Caenorhabditis elegans: one gene and its partner. The protein of the gene in region 2 purifies or fractionates together with the protein of the main gene of each other region. This does not show direct contact. Each region holds a gene or a part of one and is shown on either strand. Other genes may lie near its edges.

The links. Proteins that work in one complex are often made in the same cells at the same time.
Region 1: the proteins of phb-2 (region 2) and T10F2.2 fractionate together in Caenorhabditis elegans (co-fractionation; one large-scale study listed by BioGRID). This does not show direct contact.

The regions. Positions count from the first base shown.
Region 1 is NC_003281.10:5,161,697-5,167,163, reverse strand, and holds T10F2.2 (Mitochondrial ornithine transporter 1), read left to right. Parts: upstream 1-1,852; 5' UTR 1,853-1,872; coding exon 1,873-2,107; intron 2,108-2,476; coding exon 2,477-3,031; intron 3,032-3,088; coding exon 3,089-3,204; 3' UTR 3,205-3,405; downstream 3,406-5,467. Other genes in the region: ulp-1 (Sentrin-specific protease), read left to right, coding at 1-360, 437-515, 718-885; gars-1 (Glycine--tRNA ligase), read left to right, coding at 3,540-3,623, 4,887-5,018, 5,066-5,467.
Region 2 is NC_003280.10:6,249,761-6,256,405, forward strand, and holds phb-2 (Mitochondrial prohibitin complex protein 2), read left to right. Parts: upstream 1-1,650; 5' UTR 1,651-1,654; coding exon 1,655-1,781; intron 1,782-1,826; coding exon 1,827-1,963; intron 1,964-2,073; coding exon 2,074-2,283; intron 2,284-2,364; coding exon 2,365-2,775; 3' UTR 2,776-3,020; downstream 3,021-6,645. Other genes in the region: T24H7.2 (Hypoxia up-regulated protein 1), read left to right, coding at 1-410, 453-581, 636-857; dbd-5 (uncharacterized protein), read right to left, coding at 3,233-3,325, 3,367-3,642, 3,688-3,776, 3,852-3,957, 4,358-4,486, 4,618-4,698, 4,755-4,832, 4,904-4,966 and 2 more. UniProt on the Caenorhabditis elegans protein: PHB proteins are essential during embryonic development and are required for somatic and germline differentiation in the larval gonad. A deficiency in PHB proteins results in altered mitochondrial biogenesis in body wall muscle cells.

The DNA of each region.
Region 1 (5,467 bases), on a different chromosome or scaffold from region 2:
GGATGCATTCAGCATTCAGATCTGTAAAAAAGATCTTGCAACATTGAGTGGATTGCATTGGCTGAATGATGAGATCATCAATTTCTATCTTCAATTGATTTGTGATCGGAGCAATGGCGATTCGAAATATCCAAAGATCTATGCATTCAACACATTCTTTTATTCCAATATTGTTTCAAAAGGATACGCGAGTGTGAAACGATGGACAAGAAAAGTCGATATCTTTGCATTCGACATCGTTTTGGTGCCAGTTCATCTTGGAATGCATTGGTGTATGGCTGTTATCGATATGGGCGAAAAGAAGATTGAGTTTTATGACTCTCTTTATGATGGAAATACAGCCGTTTTGCCAGCATTGCGGTTAGTTTTTTGAGTGTTTTTGGTTTTTATTTAAAAAACTCACAGAGAATATATCAATAAATATTTTATATTTCAGAGGTTACTTGGAAGCTGAATCATTGGATAAGAAAAAGACAGCAATGAACTTTTCTGGATGGACAATTCAACAGATGACGGTATATTGAATTTTAAAAAAATTAAATAAAAAAAAGGATTTTTACTTTAAATTTATTTCTGAAAAAAAGTTTTTTTTTAGAAGTCCAGATGTTTGGCTCAATCACTCTTTTTTTGATATCTATGCTCTCTAAAACAACCAGTAATACTTCTGAAATTACACACACAAAAAGATCTTCAACACGCGATAATCATCTTGTTTAGGACATTCCTCGTCAACAAAATGGCAGTGACTGTGGAGTATTCTCATGCCAATTCGGTGAATGGGCATCTCGACGAACGACGCCTCGCTTCACGCAGAAAAATATGCCATACTACAGAAAGCGAATGGTTTACGAGATTGTTTCGAAGAAGTTACTCGCAACTATTTGATTCTAGAAGATTAAAAGTGTCATAATTCATAGTTTTGTTTCCGGAAAAGTAGCTGTAAAATGTATTTTCTTCTCATTGGGCATAATTAAAACTTATATTTTGTCGGTGTCGTAAGCCCGAATCATCTAGAAAGTCTTTAATTTTCTGTATTTCGAATTAACCATATTTCCCATTTTCGTAGCATTTCTTCATTATCCAAAATATCGTTGTGATTCTCATCACTAATTATAACTTTTGATTTCATTTCATACCGTGTAAAGAATGTTCATACAAAAGATTAAAGATGATCGACGGTGTCAGATCACATCACATTATCACTTGTCACGTGGTCATTCTCAGATGACGTTGTTTTGTTTCAAAAGGTGATGCAAACTTTCCCATCCCGTTTTTAAGATTTTTTTGTCTCTGTGGATCTCTGGCCTTTTTTCTCTTTTCTCTTTTTCATTCTTCCTTTTATCCGAGTTTTATTTGATTTTTGACGTATTTATTAACAATTTTCTCTCCCTTCCACCTTTCAATTCCCAGTTCAATAATATCAATCAGCTTTCTCTGTTATATCAATATATTTCACTCCCGATCCCCGTCACCATTGCAAGTTGCAATAAATACAATTTCTTCACTTTTTTTTCGTTGAAATTTATTTTTTTTTCTTCTTGGTTTTATTTTCAACCTCATGGTTATATATTTTGAAGTTTATACAGATTCAATGTTTTATTTTCTAAACAGAGGAAATTTAAATCCTCCTTTATTGTGCTCATCGTGATCACAAAGTCACAAAAAATTTAACTTCCCAAAACCAAAAGAAATTGTCGTTTTGTTTTCCTCCTCACGACTCAAAAGTTAAATTTTTTGTTTTTTGGTCCGAAAAACCAACAAAACCAGCTATTTAGCAAACAAGAAAAAATGATCGTGATCTAAATTTTCTGGAAATTTTCAAAACCATTTCTTCCAATTTTTGTTATTTCAGAAAATAAAATAGATAGAAATATGCATGAAAGCGGTGAACCTACAACTGCAACGGGTGATGCTTCAGCCAATCATTTTAAAGATGGAATTATCGATTTATTGGCTGGAACAGCTGGTGGAATTGCCAACGTGTATGCTGGACAACCATTAGATACAGTTAAAGTAAAAGTACAAACATTCCCGAATCTCTATTCAAATTGGATTGTTTGTCTCAAGGATACTTATAAATTGGACGGAATTCGAGGACTTTACGCTGGTTTGTTATTTTTGTTTCGAAAATTTTGAGCTTAGTCTGGATTTCTGAATCTAAAAAAAGAAAAACAATCCTTTGTACTGAACACGTTCCATGCAACTATAAAAAAGAGTACTTCTTGAAGTAAAAATTCTCACCCTTTCTGGGAAGAACAATATAACGTGTTTTCAAAAAAAACCTTTTTTTGCAAAAGTTTCAGATTCTTTTTAAATAAAATACAATTTCTAAAAAGCTTCCAGAAAGCTCAGCAATTTTTTTGAACGTTTTATTTCAAATAACGTAGTTTTGATTTGGAAGTCGAGATGAAATCGAAAAAATCTTGAAAAATTAAATGTAACTTGATTTCTAAAATTCATATTTTTCAACATCCAGGAACTCTCCCAGCTCTAGCTGCAAATGTTGCTGAAAATGCAGTTCTCTTCACTGCCTATGGTTACTGCCAAAAAACAATTGCCACACTGAATGGACTCGAAGATGTCAGACAAATGACACCATTGGAAAATGCATTCTCCGGATCTCTTGCCGCAGTTTTTGCAGCTACCGTACTCTGTCCAACAGAACTTGTCAAATGTAAACTTCAAGCAGCTCGTGAAATGAAGAAGAAGTGTACACCATTCTCTGTTTGTCGGGATATCATGAAGGATACTGGTGTCCGTGGATTCTTTGTTGGAATGACTCCGACTCTTGCAAGAGAGGTTCCTGGTTATTTCTTCTTCTTTGGAGCCTACGAAACATGCCGTTTCTTATTGACTGATGAAGGACAGAAAAAGGAAGAAATTGGACTTGTGAAGACAGCAATGGCTGGATCAGTTGGTGGTATGGCATTATGGACATCCATTTATCCAGCAGATGTCGTTAAATCGAGAATGCAAGTCACCGGAGGAGGAACTTTTATGTCTACTTTGGGCGCTGTCGTTAAAGAGAATGGTAAGTCATTATTGAGGGATAATTAATTCAATTTCTTATAAAAATTCAATTTTACAGGAATTCGTGGACTCTACAAAGGACTTCTACCAACCAATCTAAGAACTTGCTTCGCTTCTGGATGTCTTTTCGTCGCTTATGAAGAGACACGAAAGTTCTTCCACTACGTCCTCTAGATTATATTAATCTCTGCCTAGTAAATTTTTCAATTTTTCCTCATTTTTTCTTTCCATCACACAAATATCATCATGCTATGAGAGCTTTCTTCGTTGTTTCTCTTAATGTTTTTTTTCGGTTTCTAACGGTTACTCTGAGATTGCCATAGGCTCACTTACGCCCGGTTGTTGTTTTCTAAATTTTTTAATAAAAATTGTTTTTTTTTGTTATATTTAACCTTCAAAAATCCTAAATGTAATGAACATTTGTTCATAGTCACTTATTTATCTGCTTCTAACACTGGCCAATGCTTCTAATGATCTACAACTTTCTAAAGTCAAAAATCTTCCAGTTCATGTTCTCTAGTTGCTGGTTAAAAAGCAGCGTCCGATACTCGCGGTTAATAAGACAATTTTCATCGGAAAATTCATTTTTCAAGGTGAGAACAGATATCAAATTAGGTAGTGAGATTGAGGTCTCATCACGAATAGCTGGGCAAATCCTGTTTCTTTTTACACTCGCGCATGATCTCGTTGTCCATGCGGAAGTGAATCTTGTCGTCAGTATATCGGACTGAAGACACAATCGGCTAAATTGTTTTTCCTTTTTCTGTGAGAATTTATTATTTTCTGAAAGTTAAAAAATTTTAATACCTTTTTTAGAAGCTTAAAACAAAAATTTCAAACTTTGATGTAAATATCATTAATAAAAATGGTGTGAAATTGTTATTGTTGATCCGCAATTTAGCGGAAACGGTGTGCATGTACAAACAAATTCAAACATGATGAAATCTGACAGCCTTGCATTTCATTTTCTTTGTGTTGAATTTCGCAATGTTTTTTTCCTGAAAACTTCGCTAGATTTCGCTGGTTCTCCAGTAATTATATGAAAAGGGTTTGAAAGTTTTAATGCTTTTTGAAAATTTTAATGCTAATACCATTATGCTTAATTTGCTTTTTTAAATGAAAACTTTCACGTCCCTCTTGGATTTGTCTCTCTGCCGTCTACAATCTCTTTCTCGTGTTGATAGGGCGCGCTTGCATTTTTACAATTTTTCTTAATTTATTTCTGAAAAAAAAACTAAATACTTTCTTTCTTTCCGAAATGCTTAATTCATATCTCCTGAATTTTGTTTTCTAATAGAGATTTAGAAGCCGCTAATAAACTTTTAATAAATGTTGTTTTGCTTGCATTTATTACGGTGCGAAAGATGATATAATAGGCCGAGTTAGTGAATATTACTTGAAATCTCCACATAAATACAACTTGTCGCGAATATGCAGAATACCGCCGATCACGACTTTAGAAATGATATTGATAACAAGGAAATGCGTTAAGTAAATATTAAAGAATTAGTATAAATATTACGAAGTCTGTCCGTTTTTTAAATGCTCACGACAATCTACCGAAGTCATCAACGACGACAAAGCCAAGAAACTCCTGTTTGAAAGCCGCGCCAAAAGACACACACTACACGAGTTTTACAGTACTACAATACCTGCACATCAAACCCCAACACTTCTTGGTTTTACCCTCGGACGATCGGACCGGCAGGTCGCATATTAAAATCTATGAGCTTTCCAATTTTATTCGTTAACCAGATTTATCAGTAATAAATTATATGATTCTACCACTTTTGAACCTATACCGATTCGCAACACAACTTATCGTTAACCGTTTCTATAAAATATCGCTTTTGCAGGTTGAACTAGTCCCAAGTGACCGGAAAACTCCACTTCAACCCAGAAAGGTAGTCGCACCGCGGTTTGAGAAGAAAACCAGGCAAAAAATATCGGATTATTTGAAGCAAATGGCTACTCCGGAAATTGAAGCGGTATTTCATTCTCTCTACGCTCGGCTTCAGTCATTTTCGAATTTCAGAAACTCGCCCCTCTTCGTGCTGCAGTAAAAGAGTATGGAGATCTGATCCGTGATCTCAAGGCGAAAGGTGCTCCAAAAATCGACATCGATAAAGCGGTTGTTGAATTGAAGGCTAGAAAGAGACTTCTTGAAGACACAGAAATTGCTTTGGCACCAAAAGAAGCATCATTCGATCGTCTGAAATTGGAGGATCTTCTCAAAAGACGATTCTTCTATGATCAATCATTTGCTATCTATGGTGGTGTCACTGGTCTCTACGATTTCGGTCCGATGGGATGTTCCTTGAAGGCTAATATGCTCCAAGAATGGAGAAAACATTTCATTCTTGAAGAGGGCATGTTGGAAGTTGACTGTACTTCTCTCACTCCTGAACCAGTTCTGAAAGCTTCTGGACACGTTGAC
Region 2 (6,645 bases):
TTCAAGAAGAAAAACGTAGAATGGAAGCATTTGCTGAAAAAGAACGACTTGCATCCGAGAGAGCTGCGGTGGAAAATGAATTGGAATCTTTCAATTTTGAATGTTCACAATATCTCGAAGAAACTGAGTTCACTGATTACATGGCTGATGAGGAGAAAACAAAATTGGAAGATTCTGTGAAAAGAATTCGTGCTTGGCTCGAAGACGATGTGACGAAAGATACACCAACGAAGGATTTCACAGATAATTTGCTCGAATTGAAGAATGTTGTACGGAGTGTGAAAAAGAGACAAGAACACGACAAGGCAGTTCCAGAGAAGTTGAAGAGCTTGGAGACTCTTCTGGAAACCACTTTCTCATTGACCACTTTGGGTAACAATGTTGACGAGGAGAAGGCACTATTCAAAAAGGTACAGAATATATCTAAATTCGTGTAGCAATATTTTTTTCAGGAAGACCGTGACGGTTTGAAATCTAAATTGGACAAACTGAAAATTTGGGTCACAGATGTTCGGAAACACCTAGATTTGAAGAAGAAAACAGATGATTTCAACTTCACTGGAAAAGATATTGACACCAAGGTACATTGAGATGAACTACAAACACGAATACTAATTAATCATTTTATTTTTCAGACCAAAAATCTGAACCGTGAAGTAGATCGATTCATGAAGAAAATGAAGAAGATCACAACATTGGACGATCTTGCCAAAGACGGAAAAATTGATATCGACACCATTGTAGAAGAAGCAGAGAAGAAAAAAGCCGAACAAGACAAGAAGAAGGAAAAGAAAAGCACGAAGAAAGCAAACGAGTCGAAAGTAGAAAACGAGTCAGAGATAAAGACCGAGCTTTAAATTTTTTGAAAATTATATTATCATTTGGAGCATTCTCTTCCAACGGGATATTTTTTACTCGTTTCTAAATACTTGTTCAATCTTTTTCTCATGTTTGCCAATGCTTTGGGATTTTAATTTATTAAAAGTTCGAATGTGATATGATGGTGATTACTCCCATGGTTGTATTTTTTTTTGTTTTCTTGTAGTCTTCTTTGATAAAAAAAATAAAAATATTTGTCTGTAAACGCTTGTAATTCAGTTATCGGCCGATATCGGTACTCTATGTCTACAACAAATTTTGCTGGCGAAACTACTGTTTTTGAATTACCGCGTACATTGTGTCTGCGCCTCTCTGCGTCTTGCATTGCCTCTTCAACGAACTAAAGGCGCATGGTATTTCCTGAGTAGGTCTCAGAGCGTCTGTTTCCCTGCGTATTTCTCTTCTTTCTCAAGTCGCTTTTTCTTTGTTTTTTATGCTCTGAAAATGATTTTTATCTAATGAATGTTGGTTATATTCGAGATATTTGTATTTTCCATGTTTACTTTTTATATGGTAGCAATGCGGCACAAAAACGGTTTCAATGCCGCATAATTCAAATTTCGTTTTTAAAATAAGTAAGATAATGATATCCAAATTGAATATTTTGATAATTCAAAGCCGAATTTCTTTTAAATTAAAAATTTACGCATATTGATATGCTCATTCTTATTGTTATCATGCTAATCAACTCATGAATTTAACCTTGTTCTCTTTTGAAACGATTTTTGCATCATATTTCTTTTGAGTCATCATAATGTGTCTATTTTGCAGCAAAATGGCGAAACAAGGGCAAGAAGCAATGAAGAAGGCTATTCAAAATGCTAGAGGAGCTGGAGTTGGTCTAGGACTCGTGGCTGCTGCCGGAGCCGCCGTTTACGGTGTCGCCCAGTCAATGTTCACTGGTAATTATTTATATTAAGTATAACGATCAAATTAATTGTTTTCAGTGGAAGCTGGACACCGAGCTATCATGTTCAACAGAATTGGAGGATTGTCGACGGATTTGTACAAGGAAGGACTTCACTTCAGAATCCCATGGTTCCAATATCCAATCATCTATGATATCCGTGCCAGACCAAACCAGGTACGTATACAATTTTCATAGTGGCGGTTTTGAAAATTTAAACACTTATTTTTAAAAGTATTCCTGCGAAAAAGTATTCATCTGATAATCAGTCATAATTCAAATTGTAGATTCGCTCTCCAACTGGATCGAAAGACTTGCAAATGGTCAACATTGGACTCCGTGTTCTCTCTCGACCAAATCCTGAACATCTCGTTCATATCTACAGAACTCTCGGACAAAACTGGGAAGAGCGTGTTCTTCCATCGATTTGCAATGAAGTTCTTAAAGGAGTTGTCGCCAAATTCAATGCTTCACAACTTATCACTCAACGCCAACAGGTAAATCAGCTATTTAAATTTTTAGAAAATTATGGGTTATGATCTGGCTGAGTTTCACCTCGTTTAAAATGGTTTTTATAGGTTTCTATGTTGGTTCGCAAAACATTGATCGAGCGGGCTCTTGACTTCAACATTATCCTCGATGATGTTTCCCTCACCGAGCTCGCTTTCTCTCCACAATACTCTGCAGCTGTGGAAGCTAAGCAAGTTGCCGCACAGGAAGCACAAAGAGCAACCTTCTATGTTGAACGTGCTAAGCAACAGAAGCAAGAGAAGATCGTTCAAGCTGAAGGAGAAGCTGAGTCTGCAAAACTTTTGGGAGAGGCCATGAAGAACGATCCAGGATTTTTGAAGCTTAGAAAAATCCGTGCTGCTCAAAAAATTGCTCGTATCGTGTCTGAGTCTGGAAACAAGACTTATCTCCCAACAGGAGGATTGATGTTGAATATTGCCGACACCGACTATTTGAATGTGACCGACAAAAGACGCTAATTAAGTCATTCCTGAATCTGATCTTACCCGCATTGATGAGTAATTGGAAACTGTAATCATGTTTTTTTAAAAATTTCCCGTTTAGCATTATCCCTCTCTTTTTGTTTAAAATAGTAGTTTAGTTTTTCTTTCAACCCATCAATTTGTTATTGTTTTGTTTCGAATAATTAATAGAAAAGAGAATCATCATGAATTTTCTTCATTCTTTTTAATAGTTTTCTATTTTCAATACATTTCACTTTTTCGCTAGGTATGTTACATTTAACGTTTTTGGTTACCAGAGTGACAATCAAGTCCAATTCAAATGAAACCAATCTGATAACCAAAAAATTGTACAACACCGGTTCAATTAGAAAAAAGATAAATTGGAAGGCGGAGTAATAATTTAACATGGCAAGGACTAGATTGAAGTGGGGGTTGGCATTTTGAAGAGAGCTCAGTTTCAATTGTATTAGTATTAAAGGGCAGCAAGTTGTCGTTCCAAATTCTCCTTGAAACATTGCTTGATATCGTTGAGGACAGACCAGCATGGAAGCATCGATACATCAGCCTTAAATAATTAATTAACAAAGATAATTTCATTATAATTACCTGGAATGTAATTCCCGGTTTCATGTTACAGAATCCAAGGCATTTCTTTCCAGCAGACGTTTTATCAACTTCTCGATCAATACAGCATGCAGTGTGATCATCATTATCAGCAGCACACTGCATCAGATCTAGACCGTGATGTTGTGGGCATGCATCAGTTCCAAGGAACATTCCAGTTAGAACTTTCTTCGAAAGAACATCAAAACTACAAATTCGTTCGCAAGAATTATGCACCTTACGTCCCTTGCAGCACTGGAGGAATTTTGCACTGGCAGTCTGAAAATTTAAAATTCAGATTTCAATTAAGAGGTGTAATCTTACTCTTGGCTTGGCAACTGGAGCAGTCACTGGAGCAGGTTGTTGTGCCAAATGGCTCTTTGGAGCAACTGGACGAGGAGCTGGTCGTGTTGCTGAAATTGAAATTAGAGTTGAAAAAAATTTACATGAAGTTTCATCTGTATGAGTTTTCACATCTAGATACTCACCTTGTTGTGGCTGTGGAACAGGTCTTCTAGTTTGCGGCCGAGCTGGAGCTGGACGTGTCAATTGCTGCTGTGGTTGTGGACGAACGACACGGGGTTGTTGGAATTGCTGTAAATTAGTTAGAGCTTTTATAAACTCTTATTATTACATAATGGCGCCAAAAATACGGTATCCGGTCTCGACACGACAAATTTTTAATTAAATGCAAATAGGTGTGCACCTTTAAGTAGTACTGTAACTTCAAGTTTTCATTGATGCGGAATTTTCATCCATTGTTTATAGTATTTTTTAAAATTTTATAGTATTTTTTTGATAAACAAAAATATTTTTGTCGAATTACGATATGAGTCTTGATATGAAAATTCCGCAGCAACGAAAGTTTGAAATTACAGTAATCTTTAAAGGCGCGCACCTTTTCGCATTCAAAAAATTCTTGCCGCGTCGAGACCGGGTATCGTAATTTTGACGCAAAATCGCAAAACTTTGCATCTAGAACAACTATTTTTACCTCATTTGGTCTGACAAATGTACGTTGTTGTGGTGGAGATACAACAGCGGCTGGTTGAGATGTTCGTGGAATATTGGCAGAACTTGAATGAACGCTTCCTCCTACTGATTGAACACGGGTCTTGGTAGACTAAAAATTGAAAAATCCGATGATTACTGTTATTATTATTTTAATTGAAAACTGTAACATTTGACATGATTAATATGGACGAGAACGACAAAAGGATAATAAAAATTAAGGAAATTAAAATAAAATAATACCTGTGGTCTTGTTCTTTGTGTATCCTCAAAATAAGATCGATGACCATCGACAATAATTTCATCGGGTTTGTAAGATGGATTCTGGAGAATGGTTACAATTGGTTAAAGAAATGAAATCACAAAACTAAAATAAGGACCTTTGGACGTGGAGGATCAATACTGTACAGAGATTTTAAAGTTGGAATGAATCTGGCTGGCGGCGGAGGGACACGGATCTGAAAATGATGAGGATCGACAAGGACAGTGAAGTGAGTGATATAGATGAAATATTGAAACATGCACGTACAAGTGGTGCCTGAGTCTGTGCTGGAGGTGCCGGAGGTGGTGGTGGTTGGGCGAGCAGAGTGATCTGCAACATAAGATAAATAAGGGAATCAGAGGAATCAACAAAGAACATTTGAAATAAACTTTTTTAACTTAATGAAAATCTGTGAATAAGGAGGGATAGTTGGTGTCGTATTTTTTGATTTCCAGGTTTTGAACTAATGGTTCGAACTTCTCAATCATATCCAAAACATCCTGTTTGGCAAAATAATAGTTTTAAACAAAATTAAATTAAAGTTTGGAGGAAACTTTTTTGACTTGGTGCATAAAATCAATTTTGTGCCATAATTACCTTTTCTTGGTTTTGAGTGAATGAATTTGGTTGCTCTCGGAACAATTTATTATCAAAATCGACTTGTTGAACACTTCTAGCAGTATTCACATGTTGGAATGCAACATCTGGTACTTGTGGAACTGGCTGAGGCTTCTGATGATATCTTGGGATATCGGCTGGTTGAACCATTACTGGATTCTGCTGAGATGGACCATATTGTTGTTGCTGATAAGCCTCTGGTGGTGGGGGTGGAGCTTGTGGGATAACAACAGTTTGTGAGTAGATTGGTGGTGGAGCTGGTTGTGGTTGCTGCTGATATTGAAGTGGTTGCTGTGGTTGCTGTTGTTGGTACTGTACAGGCTGCTGCTGTTGCTGTGGTTGGAAATATTGTGGTTGCTGAGGCTGTTGCTGAGCTTGGAATTGTGGTTGGTACTGTTGTTGAGCTAGGAATTGCTGATAATTTTGTTGTTGTTGCTGGAATTGTGGTTGCTGCTGGAACTGCTGTGGTTGTTGAAACTGTTGCTGTTGGAATTGCGGGAATCCGTTGAAATTATTAAATTGTTGATGTTGTTCTGGCCATTGATAGTATTGACAGTGAGCTGAAATTAAATTTTAAAAAACGTTTTTTTTAAGTTTCAAACTGAATATTTTCTTGACAATTATGATGGTAATGTTTTTGGGAAATATGCTACCGTATTTAACTATGAGTCTTGCACCATGTGGCAGCTATATCAGAATTTTTTAAATCTGTCAACTGACATAAATTCATTATCTGTTATTCTAGTTTCATTCTAGAAAGATTACGGATATTTTCAAGTCTAACGGAAAAAAAACTTTCAAGTTTGAGTGATGGGGTGCGGAACAGAAAGACAATATATAATTTTCAAATTTTGAAAATGGTAGTGGTACTAGAAATGCAATATATTCGTGTTTTCAGTGGATAACTGAAACTATGGGTTGAAACTAAACTTTCTACATTAACCTATAATAGAACTTAGAGCTCACCGTTGGCTGCCAATATGGCAACAGTTGCCACAAATCGGTAGATCATAATAATGGTAGATAGAGAGAAAATGGAAAGGTAAGAAGGTATAGACTAGCAAGACCGGATCTTAGTGGGCAGCCCAGCACTGCTAACTAAAGCCGAATGGGGCGTGGCCAAGACGTGGAGCGGGAGAAGCTGGTGAAGAAGATTTTGGAAGAGAGAAGGCGGAGGGAGAGGAACACTGGAAAAGGTCGACGGGCCTCTCTCTCTGTAACGGTGCGTGGGCAAAATGTGTAATTTCTAGTATAATCTAGGCGACACAGAGACTGGTGTGAAGCTGCTTTGAAAGACAAGGGGAAAGATGCCGTGATTGTTAATTAAGAATATACTAGGTGTTGTACATCTTTATGGTCACACTTGCCAAGAACACTACTAGTTGATTGTG